Linked DNA regions of Macaca mulatta. The main gene of each other region encodes a partner of the protein of the gene in region 2 in a complex. Links are inferred from orthologs where the notes say so. Each region holds a gene or a part of one and is shown on either strand. Other genes may lie near its edges.

What was found.
Region 1: CWC22 (region 2) and SNRNP200 share a complex: the UniProt entries of both Homo sapiens proteins name them as parts of the minor spliceosome. The link is inferred for Macaca mulatta from reciprocal best matches to the Homo sapiens genes CWC22 and SNRNP200.
Region 3: CWC22 (region 2) and SNIP1 share a complex: the UniProt entries of both Homo sapiens proteins name them as parts of the minor spliceosome. The link is inferred for Macaca mulatta from reciprocal best matches to the Homo sapiens genes CWC22 and SNIP1.

Annotation. Positions count from the first base shown.
Region 1 is NC_133418.1:5,031,828-5,035,477, forward strand, and holds part of SNRNP200 (U5 small nuclear ribonucleoprotein 200 kDa helicase), read right to left. Parts: intron 3,351-3,650; coding exon 3,198-3,350; intron 3,086-3,197; coding exon 2,986-3,085; intron 2,799-2,985; coding exon 2,662-2,798; intron 2,098-2,661; coding exon 2,014-2,097; intron 1,914-2,013; coding exon 1,740-1,913; intron 1,448-1,739; coding exon 1,310-1,447; intron 1,071-1,309; coding exon 915-1,070; intron 32-914; coding exon 1-31. UniProt on the Homo sapiens protein: Catalyzes the ATP-dependent unwinding of U4/U6 RNA duplices, an essential step in the assembly of a catalytically active spliceosome. Plays a role in pre-mRNA splicing as a core component of precatalytic, catalytic and postcatalytic spliceosomal complexes.
Region 2 is NC_133417.1:84,940,279-84,944,028, forward strand, and holds the start of CWC22 (pre-mRNA-splicing factor CWC22 homolog), read right to left. Parts: upstream 2,275-3,750; 5' UTR 2,235-2,274; intron 1-2,234. UniProt on the Homo sapiens protein: Required for pre-mRNA splicing as component of the spliceosome. As a component of the minor spliceosome, involved in the splicing of U12-type introns in pre-mRNAs. Promotes exon-junction complex (EJC) assembly.
Region 3 is NC_133406.1:203,254,571-203,258,220, reverse strand, and holds part of SNIP1 (smad nuclear-interacting protein 1), read right to left. Parts: intron 266-3,650; coding exon 1-265. UniProt on the Homo sapiens protein: Required for pre-mRNA splicing as component of the spliceosome. As a component of the minor spliceosome, involved in the splicing of U12-type introns in pre-mRNAs. Down-regulates NF-kappa-B signaling by competing with RELA for CREBBP/EP300 binding.

The DNA.
Region 1 (3,650 bases), on a different chromosome or scaffold from region 2:
CAGCAACAGTGATGCCGTAAGTGGCCAGACGCTGTGGGAGGAAAACTACATCAGGCAGGAGTGCTTGAAGGGGCCTGGACACCACGCTTTCTGTTTGGGCGGTTGGAGTGTAGGGCCTTGGGAGCAGGCATCAACCCATCAGGTGAACACAAGGCGAATCAGATCTTATGAGCATATCTTCCTCAAACAAACAGAAACTTAACTCAGGCAAATAAAGCAGACAAAAGATCTCTCGGGGCCAGGCACGGTGGCTCACGCCTGTAATCCTAGCACTTTCAGAGGCCAGTGAGGGCAGAATGCTTGAGCCCAGGAATTCTAGACCATGGTGAAACCCTGTCCCTACAAAACACATAAAAATTAGCTAATCTGGTAGCACATGTCTATAATCCCAGCTACTAGGAAGGCTGAAGTGGGAGGATCACTTGAGCCTGGGAGGTCAAGGCTGCAGTGAGCCATGATTGTACCACTGCACTCTAGCTTGGGTGACAGCAAGACCCTGTCTCAAAAAAAAAAAAAAGATCTCTGGGAACTCTGTACACAAGAGGAAGAAATGGCAACTTGTAGATAACAAGACCTAGAGTAACACCACTAGGTCTATTATTATCCACATCCATTTGATGTTTCATAAATACGTCAATAACACAAATGATACCAACTGCAGGAAATTGCCATGGAGAGGATGAAAGAAAGATGCTAACCCTTGTAAAAGATGGCTCAGGACAGTCTTACTTCAGAAACTCTGTACCTGGGTTCAGTTCCATCTTGGAAATGGGGAGAGAAAAATAAAAAATAAAAACAATCCCAGGAGGCATTCCAGAGATGCCCCAATACAAAAAGCGGTGAGGTCCAGGCCTGGCCACAACACTTTGACAGCTGCGCCCCGTATCCTCTGGAGGAAAGTTCTACTCCCTCACCTTTCCAAAGCTGCCCACCATCTCCTGCACCAAGGAGCGCATGGGGGCAATGTAGATAATCTTGAAGTCATCCACATTGATGGTGCCGTCCATGTTGATGTGTTTCCCAATCTCTCGGAGCATGCACATCAGGGCCACGTTGGTCTTCCCAGCACCCTACGGGAGAGGTCAGGGATGAGAACGCCTGTTCACCTGATTATTCTCACTGCCCTAACTTCCACGGGCTTATTTCCCAAACAGAGAATAGAATTTTTCCTGGGTACTTTATCCTACCATTTAACCTCTCTTTCATCAAAGGACAAAGAATTAGGGGGTGGGGTGGAAATAAAAAACAATCTTCCAACAGAAACTCCACCCATATTCCCCAAGAAAAAAGCAGGCAGGGTGGCGCTTACAGTAGGAGCACACAGCAGCAGATTCTCATCCGTCTCGAGGGCAGCACGGTAGAGCTTACTCTGGATCCGATTCAGTGTTTTGAAGCCCTCAAACCCAGCCTGGGCATACTTTGGAAGCTTTTCCACCGGAAGCAGTTGCTAGAAGAAAAGAAGCGCCATCGGTATCATGTTGGCAGCATCCCTGAGCAGACTGGTTTTGTGGGATTGCCAGGATTTTGTTCCCTGGCAATCTCTTTGCATAACTCTCCATTAAAGGTCAGTCCAGAGATCAATATTGTCCCCTGGGCTCAAAATCAGAATGGGAAAATTCTGTTGCAGCTTTCAGCCCTAAAATAAACTATATATGAAACAAAGCTACATTCTGGTCAATGGTTGAAATCCAAACCAGGAGGCGAACTAAGCAGAGAACTGAGGAAAGCAATTCACTTACTTCTTCTGAGCCAAAGGGCTTGGGCTTCAGAGCAGGCACATGCACCTCTTCGTAGCCCTTACGCTGGCGACGGAAGGATCCATCAGGAAGCTGACAGCGTTTATTGGCCATAAAGTGGCTCCCTTGGGTAAATACCAGGTCCTCCAAGTCCAGAACCTGCCGTGGAGCCAGTGCCTGGGAATGTGAAAGACAAAAACCCCAAGGAAGTGAGCAAGCCGAGCAAGCGCGTTTTCCACCCAACAAGGCCTGGGACGTAAATCGCCCTGGATCCTACCTCTCCACCCTGGTCGAGATCCATGGTTTCCAGATCTGTGTCCATTCGAGACTGACGCACTCGCTCTCTCCGGGATCTCTCCTCCTGTAGCGGACGAAGATGAAAATCACAAAAACAATTCATCAGTATCACAGGTTCTTGTCCTTTTCTGTCCCTGCTTAGCTAATACTTGAGTCACAGGTGCTCACTAATAAGTCACCAAACAGAAAGACAACGCTTTACATGGGGACCACCAGAATGATCAGAGCGAACACACACCTTTAAAGGGGCAATGCGCAGTACAGGGATGCCGGAAATAGACGTTCTGTAATTAAGTACCAAGGGCTACCCCTGAGGGGTAAAAGTGTGGGTTCTGTTAAGCAAGCACATGTGTTCTGTTACTCTATTTTAGTAAACACCATGTATTTACTGTGCAATTAAACAATAAAGATCCCCATAGTGCTGGTGAAAGACAGCAGCAGGTCACTGGTCTAACGACCAAACCAATGTGGATGTGTTGATTCTAACCTGTATGCACTGACAAATCCCGAAAAATTTAGAGAAATTACTTTTTCAACTTCCACTTTTAATATGAATTTAGCTTCATGCTGCAATCTTCTAGCCACTGTTAGCTCAGAAATCAGACAGATAAACCAACGCAGTCCTTACTCGGATCAGATCCTCCTTCTCGGTTTCGTGCAGCTGGTAGAGGAACTTGGATAGCTCTGGGTCAGCTTCCATCTTTCCCATAATCCTTTCCTTTTCAGCTTCACTTTGTGCACTGGCCAGCAAGGTACAGTATAAAACTACCCACAACAAAAGGAACAAAGGAAAAGTGAAGAGGAGGAAGTAAGGCAAAAAACCTTCATCCTTAGAGTAGAAAGAAGAAAAATAAAAGAAACAAGCACTTAGGTTGTGAAAACAACAGAATCTCCATCTCACACACGCACACATATGTACTCACTCTGCAAGAAGAGCCCACCATATACTCACTCATCATCCTGTGCTGCCGCAACACTTTAATGAAATCAAAGGTGTTGAAACCAAGCAGCAGAACCAGCTGGTTCTCACATTCCCGATCGTCACTGGCCGTCTGCAGAGAGAAGGCAACACCACCACTAAGGACAAAGCCATCTGCCACTTCATACACTGTCCCCATGTACCAAGATACACTACACATACAACTATTGTTATCTTGGCCATACCTTCAAAATCTCCAATACTTCATCTGCCTTCTTCTGCGACACGATGGCATCATCATAGAAACGACTGAGCTGCCGCTGTAGCCAAAATGCATCAATATCCCGAGGGTGCAAATCCTTCTTCTTGGAACTCATCAGTTCACCTGAGGCCACGAGCTACAAAAGTAACCAGGCATTTAGCTCACCAGGTCTCTGCCAGCCTAGAGCACTTTGCCACCACCCTGCAACCAAGTTCTACTTGCCACCCCACAGCCCACCTTCTGTGAGGACTTTCCAGAGGGAAAAACTCTGGAATACTGAGTTCAGAATACCAGACTAAGACTTCATCAACATACATCTTTGGGAAGGAAGAAAACCGACTGAAATCTTAAGAAACTCTAGACACTAAGTGTTTATTATGGTTCACTCTAGCAAAAGGCGGCTCAATAAATGTAACAGGACCTAGGCATGGGGAAG
Region 2 (3,750 bases):
GGGAAGGATGTGGTGGCATAATAATAAATACTGGCTGGCCATGGATCAAGTACTTTGGAGCAAGGAGGGAAACAAACCTGATTCTGAGGACAGGGGGAGGATGAACCATAGCATGCCCCTAAAAGATGGGCTAGAGCAGAAGTTTTCAAACTAACTGGCATGAGAATCACTCGAATGCTTTGGCGCAAAAAAAAAAAAAAAAAAAAAAAAAAAAAAAAAAAACTGTTGGGCCTGCATTTCTACGTTTCTGATTCAACAGAACTGGGTGAAGCCCAGTAATTTACATTGCTAATAAGCTTCAAAGAGATGTTGCTGATTCAGGAGACCACATTTTTGGAACCACTAGACCAGGGTATTAGATCAAAGTTCTTGGCCTTTAACTTATAACCAAGACGGTCTCAGAGCCCCAGTCAATTGAGTTGGGTAAGACTCCATAAAAGTGGCATGGACACTTAAAACTAGAAGGGCACTGGCCGAGCGCAGCGGCTCACCCTGTAATCCCAGCACTTTGGGAGGCTGAGGTGGGTGGATCACGAGGTCAGGAGATAGACACCATCCTGGCTAACATGGTGAAACCCCGTCTCTACTAAAAATAAAAAAAATTAGCAGGGCGTAGTGGCTGGCGCCTGTAGTCCCAGCTACTCGGGAGCCTGAGGCAGGAGAATGGTGTGAACTCGAAAGGCGGAGCTTGCAGCGAGCCAAGATCCGCCACTGCACTCCAGCCTGGGCGACAGAGTGAGACTCCGTCTCAAAAAAAAAAAAAAAAACCTGGAAGGACACTTAAAGGTGGAAAGGCAACACTCAGACCCAGAGGGCAAGAACTGAGGCACAGACAGAACTCATCAACTGTATCATAGTAGCAATTTACAATAATACAAAGCTAACACTGTATATCAGGCACTGTGCTCAGTGCCTCATCTGCATTATTTTCTTTATACTCAAAAAAAGACAACACAGTGAGGCAGGTATTGTATTATTACCTACATGTTTTCAGATGATGAAGCTGACTATATATAATAGAGACTTTAACTTGCTCCAAGTGACAGACCTAATAATAGCTAAATAAAACTGAAATCTTTGGTCTACTAGTCCATCACCCAGGACCAACAAAAGTAGCTTTCCTCAACCTACTGATAAGGCCTGTAACAAGGCTTCTCCTCTCCTGGTCAAAACCACACTTTTAATGTCAATTTTAAATCTGCCCTTGCATAGTAGGATAATCTGTGTTAACTCCTGAATTCACAAGCAATCCTACAAGAAGATAAGTCTAAATACGGATAAGAGGTAGGATAACTGATCTGCTGAGGACCCAATTTGTTTATCTGCTATTTCGAGTCTCTGCACATCCAAAAATGCAAAGGAAACTCTTACCTAATTCTTGCATCTAGAATAGCCTTTCTCCAAATCCTGCCTTCTCCAATTACCTCAAAAGAATTGTTAGGATTAAGTGGAAATAGGTATGGTAGTTTTTGCAGTTAAACTCAGTGAAATTAACGATTATATTTCCGTTCTATAATGCTGTGTTACAGGACCCAAAGCTCCTTAGAGAGGTGGAGTCTGGACACCCAAGTTTAGCAGTTATTACCTCATTGGAGATAGTTCAAGTTATGTAAGGATCAAGAATGACAGGTGAAGAGGACACAAGAGAAGCGAAGCGTCTTCAAAACTAAACTCCAGAAACTATCAGTATTTACAGGGCAAATAAATGAAAAAGAAACCGCTAATGAAACGTAAAACAAATAGCCAAAGGGATATAACGCCGGAAAGAGGCATAAGAGTGCAAGTACTTCAACTAACTTTTAATCAACTAGAGCTCATTAATCCCACTCCCCAGGCACTGGGAAAGGGGCTTTGGCAAGCCCAATGGACTCCAGAGGCTCTAAGTATAAAACACACTGCACACGAAACAACAGAGCACCAGCGTTGGTGCAGGACTTCAGACAGCTGCAGGAACCTCACAAGGAAGGTCAGCCGGTCCGCTCAGGCAGTCAGTCAGTTCACCGCAGCCCATTCGCTCCCCACCCGCTTGGACTCCTCGGACCCAGCCACTCTCACACCCCTCTCGCGGGCCCGAGCGTGGCGGGAAGACCCACGCACACTCCAATGCCGCTCACAGCCGTATCAGTGAGCCCGCACCCACTCCTCAGGGTCTTTCACTTCCCACCCAACCCGGCAACCCGCCACCCCCGCTCCGCTTCGGTGCCTACGGGGACTCCGCGGAGTTCGATAATTACCTAAAGCTGCACCGCGCCGCCATTACACCGGATGTACGTCACTTCCTCTTCCCGAGCACCGACAGTAGGAACAAGGCAGATACTGAAATACATAAAAACTTGACGCTCAATTGGCTTGACGCGTTATCCTTTTAATTTATTTCAGATACCATATCATAATGCCAGAGTCAAAGCAGTCGATCCAGGCACACTGTATTCTTATCAAAATGGCGACTAAAAAGAAGTTGGCATGAACTACAAAGTCCGAAATCCAGCACCTGTGCTGACGGAAATGACGAAAGCATAATTGTAGTTTAGCGGTGAAATGGCGCGGTGTACGATGGGAATTGTAGTTCATACAGATGCGCGCCAGCGAGTTAACATCCACGCTGCTGACTGGCAGCCTAGCAGTGTTTAGGGTCTAGGCAAATTTACTTTAATCTAAAAGTATTTCACTGCATTTTGGGAATTTTTTTTTTTTTTTAGTAGTCAGTTGTCACTTTCCTTGAAAATCTTAAGTGAGAGATTTTCTTGAGACTTTTTTTTATAAGAGTTTGACCAAGAGTCAAGTGCCTAATAAATTCCAAGACATCCAAGCCAAGAGAATGGGAGAATATTAGATCATAAATAGAGTGAAATAATGAGGAAAAAATAATTCTGTAGAGACTATGTTGCCTGTCTTTTAAGTTAAGGTACCAACTGGTATGACCTGAGAATAAGGAGATTGCCTGGCTGAGTAGGAAGTAGCAGTTTGTACAGCATACAGAACTAGGGCATCAAACAAATTGTTTCTTTAAACTTCACTTTTCACTAGTAACAAAACGTAAAAGTTCAACTACTTACTATTTTGGAAACTCTCTTTCTAAAACAAGAATATCTTTATGTTATCAAATCTTTCATAAACCAGGCCTGATTTCTCCACACACTTCTCTATTACAGTTTTAGGGTGCTGTGCTTCCACTCCTTTCTGGAGGCAAAGTGTGAGAATTAAGAATAAAAACACTGCAGTTGGACTACTTACGTTTGAATCTTGAGTCCTTTGATTATTTATGGATGATTGGGGCAAGTAACTTCACATTCTGTGGCCGTTTCCTGATCTGTTAAATGGAAATACTAGTAGTACCCATTCATGCAGTAGTTGTAAGAATTGAATTAGTTGATTCACAAGATACGTTTAAGATAATTGCTAGTATACAATAGTGTTATCTATTTTATTTCATATTTAAGATATTTGGCCATTGTTGATGGTGCACTTTGGTGTACCAATACAGGGCACAGGAGATGGATCTGGAGATGAACATTTGTATTTATATATTTAAAAACCCACAATACTATCTGTGATGGTTAATTCTGAATATCAACTTGATTGGATTGAAGGATGCAAAGTATTGATCCTGGGTGTGTCTGTGAGGGTGTTGCCAAACTGTTGACAACTGTTTGTTGTCAAACAGTTGAGTCAGTGGACTGGGGAAGACAGACCCACCCTCAATCTGGTGGGAACAATCTAATCAGGTACCAGCGAATATAAAGCGGGCAG
Region 3 (3,650 bases), on a different chromosome or scaffold from region 2:
CACCACCAATGTCATTCCTCTGGCGATGCTCCCGTCGCCTGGCATTATAAAACTCCCGCTCTTCTTCCTGAGCCTGCAGGTTCTGAGTGTCTCGCTCCCGTCCCTGACCCTGCCCACTCCCAGGTCTCTCGTTAGACGTTCTCCTTTGGTGGGAATGGCCCCGGTGTCTGTACCGGTCACTTTTCCTAGCTCTCCTGTGTTCCTGTTCTGATGGTTCCCTGTGCTGCCGATCCTCCCGTCCTCTCCGGGGATGATCCTCACGCTCCTGAAATTCAAACAGATTCTGTAATTTTAACACAGTGCACAATCTAAAGACAGCCCAAATCTTGTTCTTTTTGAATGAGGTATATTCAAAAGGTCTTTTGTAATTTGGAGTTTGGCATTTAGAACAACATTTCCCACAGAAATAAGATTATGTCTGGTGGTTATGTTCCCTTGCAAGGCCACAAAAATGATATCCCATGCTGCTATTCAACCATAGCCCTAATAGCACAAGCCCAGGTCCAGAGCCCTAAAAACAAGAGACTATTTAGTCCAGAAAGGAGAAAGAAAAATAATTTCCTCCTTTTCACAACAAAGGTAACTATGGGAAAACTTACAGGGAAGAATATACAGAAAATAGAACTAAGAGTTAAGTAGTCAGGTACAAGATATGTAAAGAAAGAAGCTAGCTTTCTCTCATGCCAAAAATGAAAATATAACAGTTTTTAAATCCTACTTCCACAGTTAAAAAAAAATTCAATACCTAGGAATAAACTTAAGAAACATGAAAGACATATAAGAAGAAATCTGTAAAAATTCATTAAAATAGAGGCTTTTTAAAGATCTGAAGAAATGGAGAAACATACCATGATTTCTTGAAAATGACAGCATTGAAAATCAGCCTAGGCCAGGCACGGTGGCTCATGCCTATAATCCCAGCACTTTGGGAGGCCGAGACAGGCGGATCACCTGAGGTCAGGAGTTCCAGATCAGCCTGACCAACATGGTGAAACTCCATCTCTTCTAAAAATACAAAATTAGCCGGCTGTGGTGGCACATGCCTGTAATCCCAGCTACTCAGGAGGCTGAGGCAGGAGAATCGCTCGAACCTGGGAGGCAGAGGTTGCAGTAAGCCGAGATCGCGCCATTGCACTCCAGCCTGGGCAACAAGAGTGAAACTCCTTCTCAAAAAAAAGAAAAGAAGAAAAAAAATCAGCCTGGTAGAAAATGTCTGCAACACAAACCAGACAGTAGTCCTAGGGGGATACATTCTAAGTATGGTGGACGGCTGAAACCACGGATAGTACTGAACCTGACTGCCATCAAACGTAACACATTTCTGTTCACATCTTCCACCCATAAATTTAATGCCTTTTCCATCTTAACTAAGCACTTATGAACTGTGGCTGTAACTTTTACAGTATGAAATACAACAGCAAAACTAGCATGAATTTCTTTTTCCTTCCCCACAATTTCACAATAGAAGATTCATTCTTACTATTGATCTTAGCAACTTCAATATAGGATTTGAAAAGTTTTTTTTAAGTTGAGAACTTTCATCTTTTCGTTTAGGAAGCACTTTACAGCTTCTCTTTAGCCTTCCTAATTGCCAAAATCACTGCTATTGCACTTTGGGGCCACTACTAAATAAAATAAAGGTACTTGAATCCAAGCACTGCAAACTGCAACAGTTATCTGATAACCAGGATGACAACTAAGTGACGGACAGGCAGGTAGCGCATACAGCACAGATACACCAGACAAAGGAAGGATTCATGTTCCTGGTGGGACAGCACAAGTTTACACCAAATGACTCAGGATAGTGACCAATTTAAACTTTATGAGTTGTTTTTTTCTGGAGTTTTCCATTTAATATTTTCAGATGTAGAAAGTGAAACCACAGATAAGGGGGGACTACTGTATATTACTATATCAATAAGAAACAATTCAACAGAGAAACTGACAAATGGCCAGGTGCCAGTGGCTCACACTTGTAATCCCAGCACTTTGGGAGGCCAAGGCAATGGATCGCTTGAGCCCAGGAGTTTGAGACTAGCCTGGGCAACATGGTGAAACCCCGTCTCTACTAAAAATACACAAATCAGCTGGGCACAGTGGTGCATGCCTGTAGTTCCAGTTCCTCAGAAGGCTAAGGTGGGAGGATTGCTTGAACCTAGGAGGCAGAGGTTGCAGTGAGCTGAGATTCCACCACTGTACTCCAGCCTGGATGACAGAGCAAGACTCTGTCTCAAAAATAAAAAAGGAAAGAAAAATGAACAATTTTCAGAAGAAATAAATGTCCAAGGGCCGAGCACAGTGGGTGACGCCTGTAATCCCAGCACTTTGGGAAGCCACGGCAGGAGAATTGCTTAAGCTCAGGAGTTTAGACCAGCCTGAGCAACACGGCAAAACCCCACTTCTACAAAAAATACAAAAATCAGCCAGGCATGACAGCATGCACCTGTAATCTAAAATTACAGCTATTCTAGAATTTGAGGTGGGAGGATCACTTGAGCCCAGGAGGTCGAGGCTGAAGTGAGCTATGATCATACCACTGCAGTCCAGCCTGGGCTACAGAGACCCTGTCTCAAAAAAAAAAAAAAAAAAAAAGAAAAAAGAAATACATGTCCAATAAATGCATGAAGATATGCTTAACCTAATAACCAATGCATCAAATTCTAAAAGAAACATGAATTTTCTCTCCTTGAATTAGTAAAATTAAAAAGATCAATAATATCTACAGTCAAAAAGGAAGGCACAGGAAAATGGGTATTTTCAGTCACTGCTGGTACAGGTATAAACTAGCATAGCCTATTTAGGTCAATTTGACAGTATTTAATCAAAATCTCATCAACCACTAATGCCACTTATAGAAATCAATCCTACAGAAATACTAGCAGAAACGCACAAACACATACATATCAATGTGTTTACTGTAATTTCATAATAAAAAAACTGGAAACAACTTAATGTCCTGCAACGGTAGAATGGTTAAATTATTATCTATTCATACAAAGGAATACTTCCCAGCCATGAAAAAGAAAGAGATCATGACATAGAAAGATATCTAATATATTGTTAAATGAGAGAGGAAAAAAGAGAAGGGGCAAGTTTCACAATAAGACCAGATATTTCTATATATAGACTTGGCAGATGAAATACTTGGAGAGATGTTCCCACTATAATTTAACTAGATACTTATTAAATTTTTAATGTATTGTTGGGCTGTCAATAAGCAAGGCAAAATCTCCAATGAGAAAAAAATCTCCAAAGTGGGGTAAGAAAAAAAAACAGATTTGAGCTCTAAGCATGGGCTCAAATACTAAAGAATACTAGACACACACAAGGAAATGGAAACAAGCCACTGAGCATGAGAGGCAGCAGAAACAAGTCTTATAGGGTGGGCATGGTGGCTCACGCCTGTAATCCCAGCACTTTGGGAGAGCAAGGGGGGCAGATCACTTGAGGTCGGTCAGGAGTTCGAGCCCAGCCTGGCCAACATTGTGAAACCCCGTCTCTACTAAAAATACAAAAATTAGCCAGGTGTGGTAGTGCATGCCTGTAATCCCAGCTACTTGGGAGGCTGAGGCAGGAGAATCGCTTGAACCCAGGAAGTGAAGGTTGCAGTGAGCAGAGATGGCGCCACTGCATTGTAGCCTGAACGACAA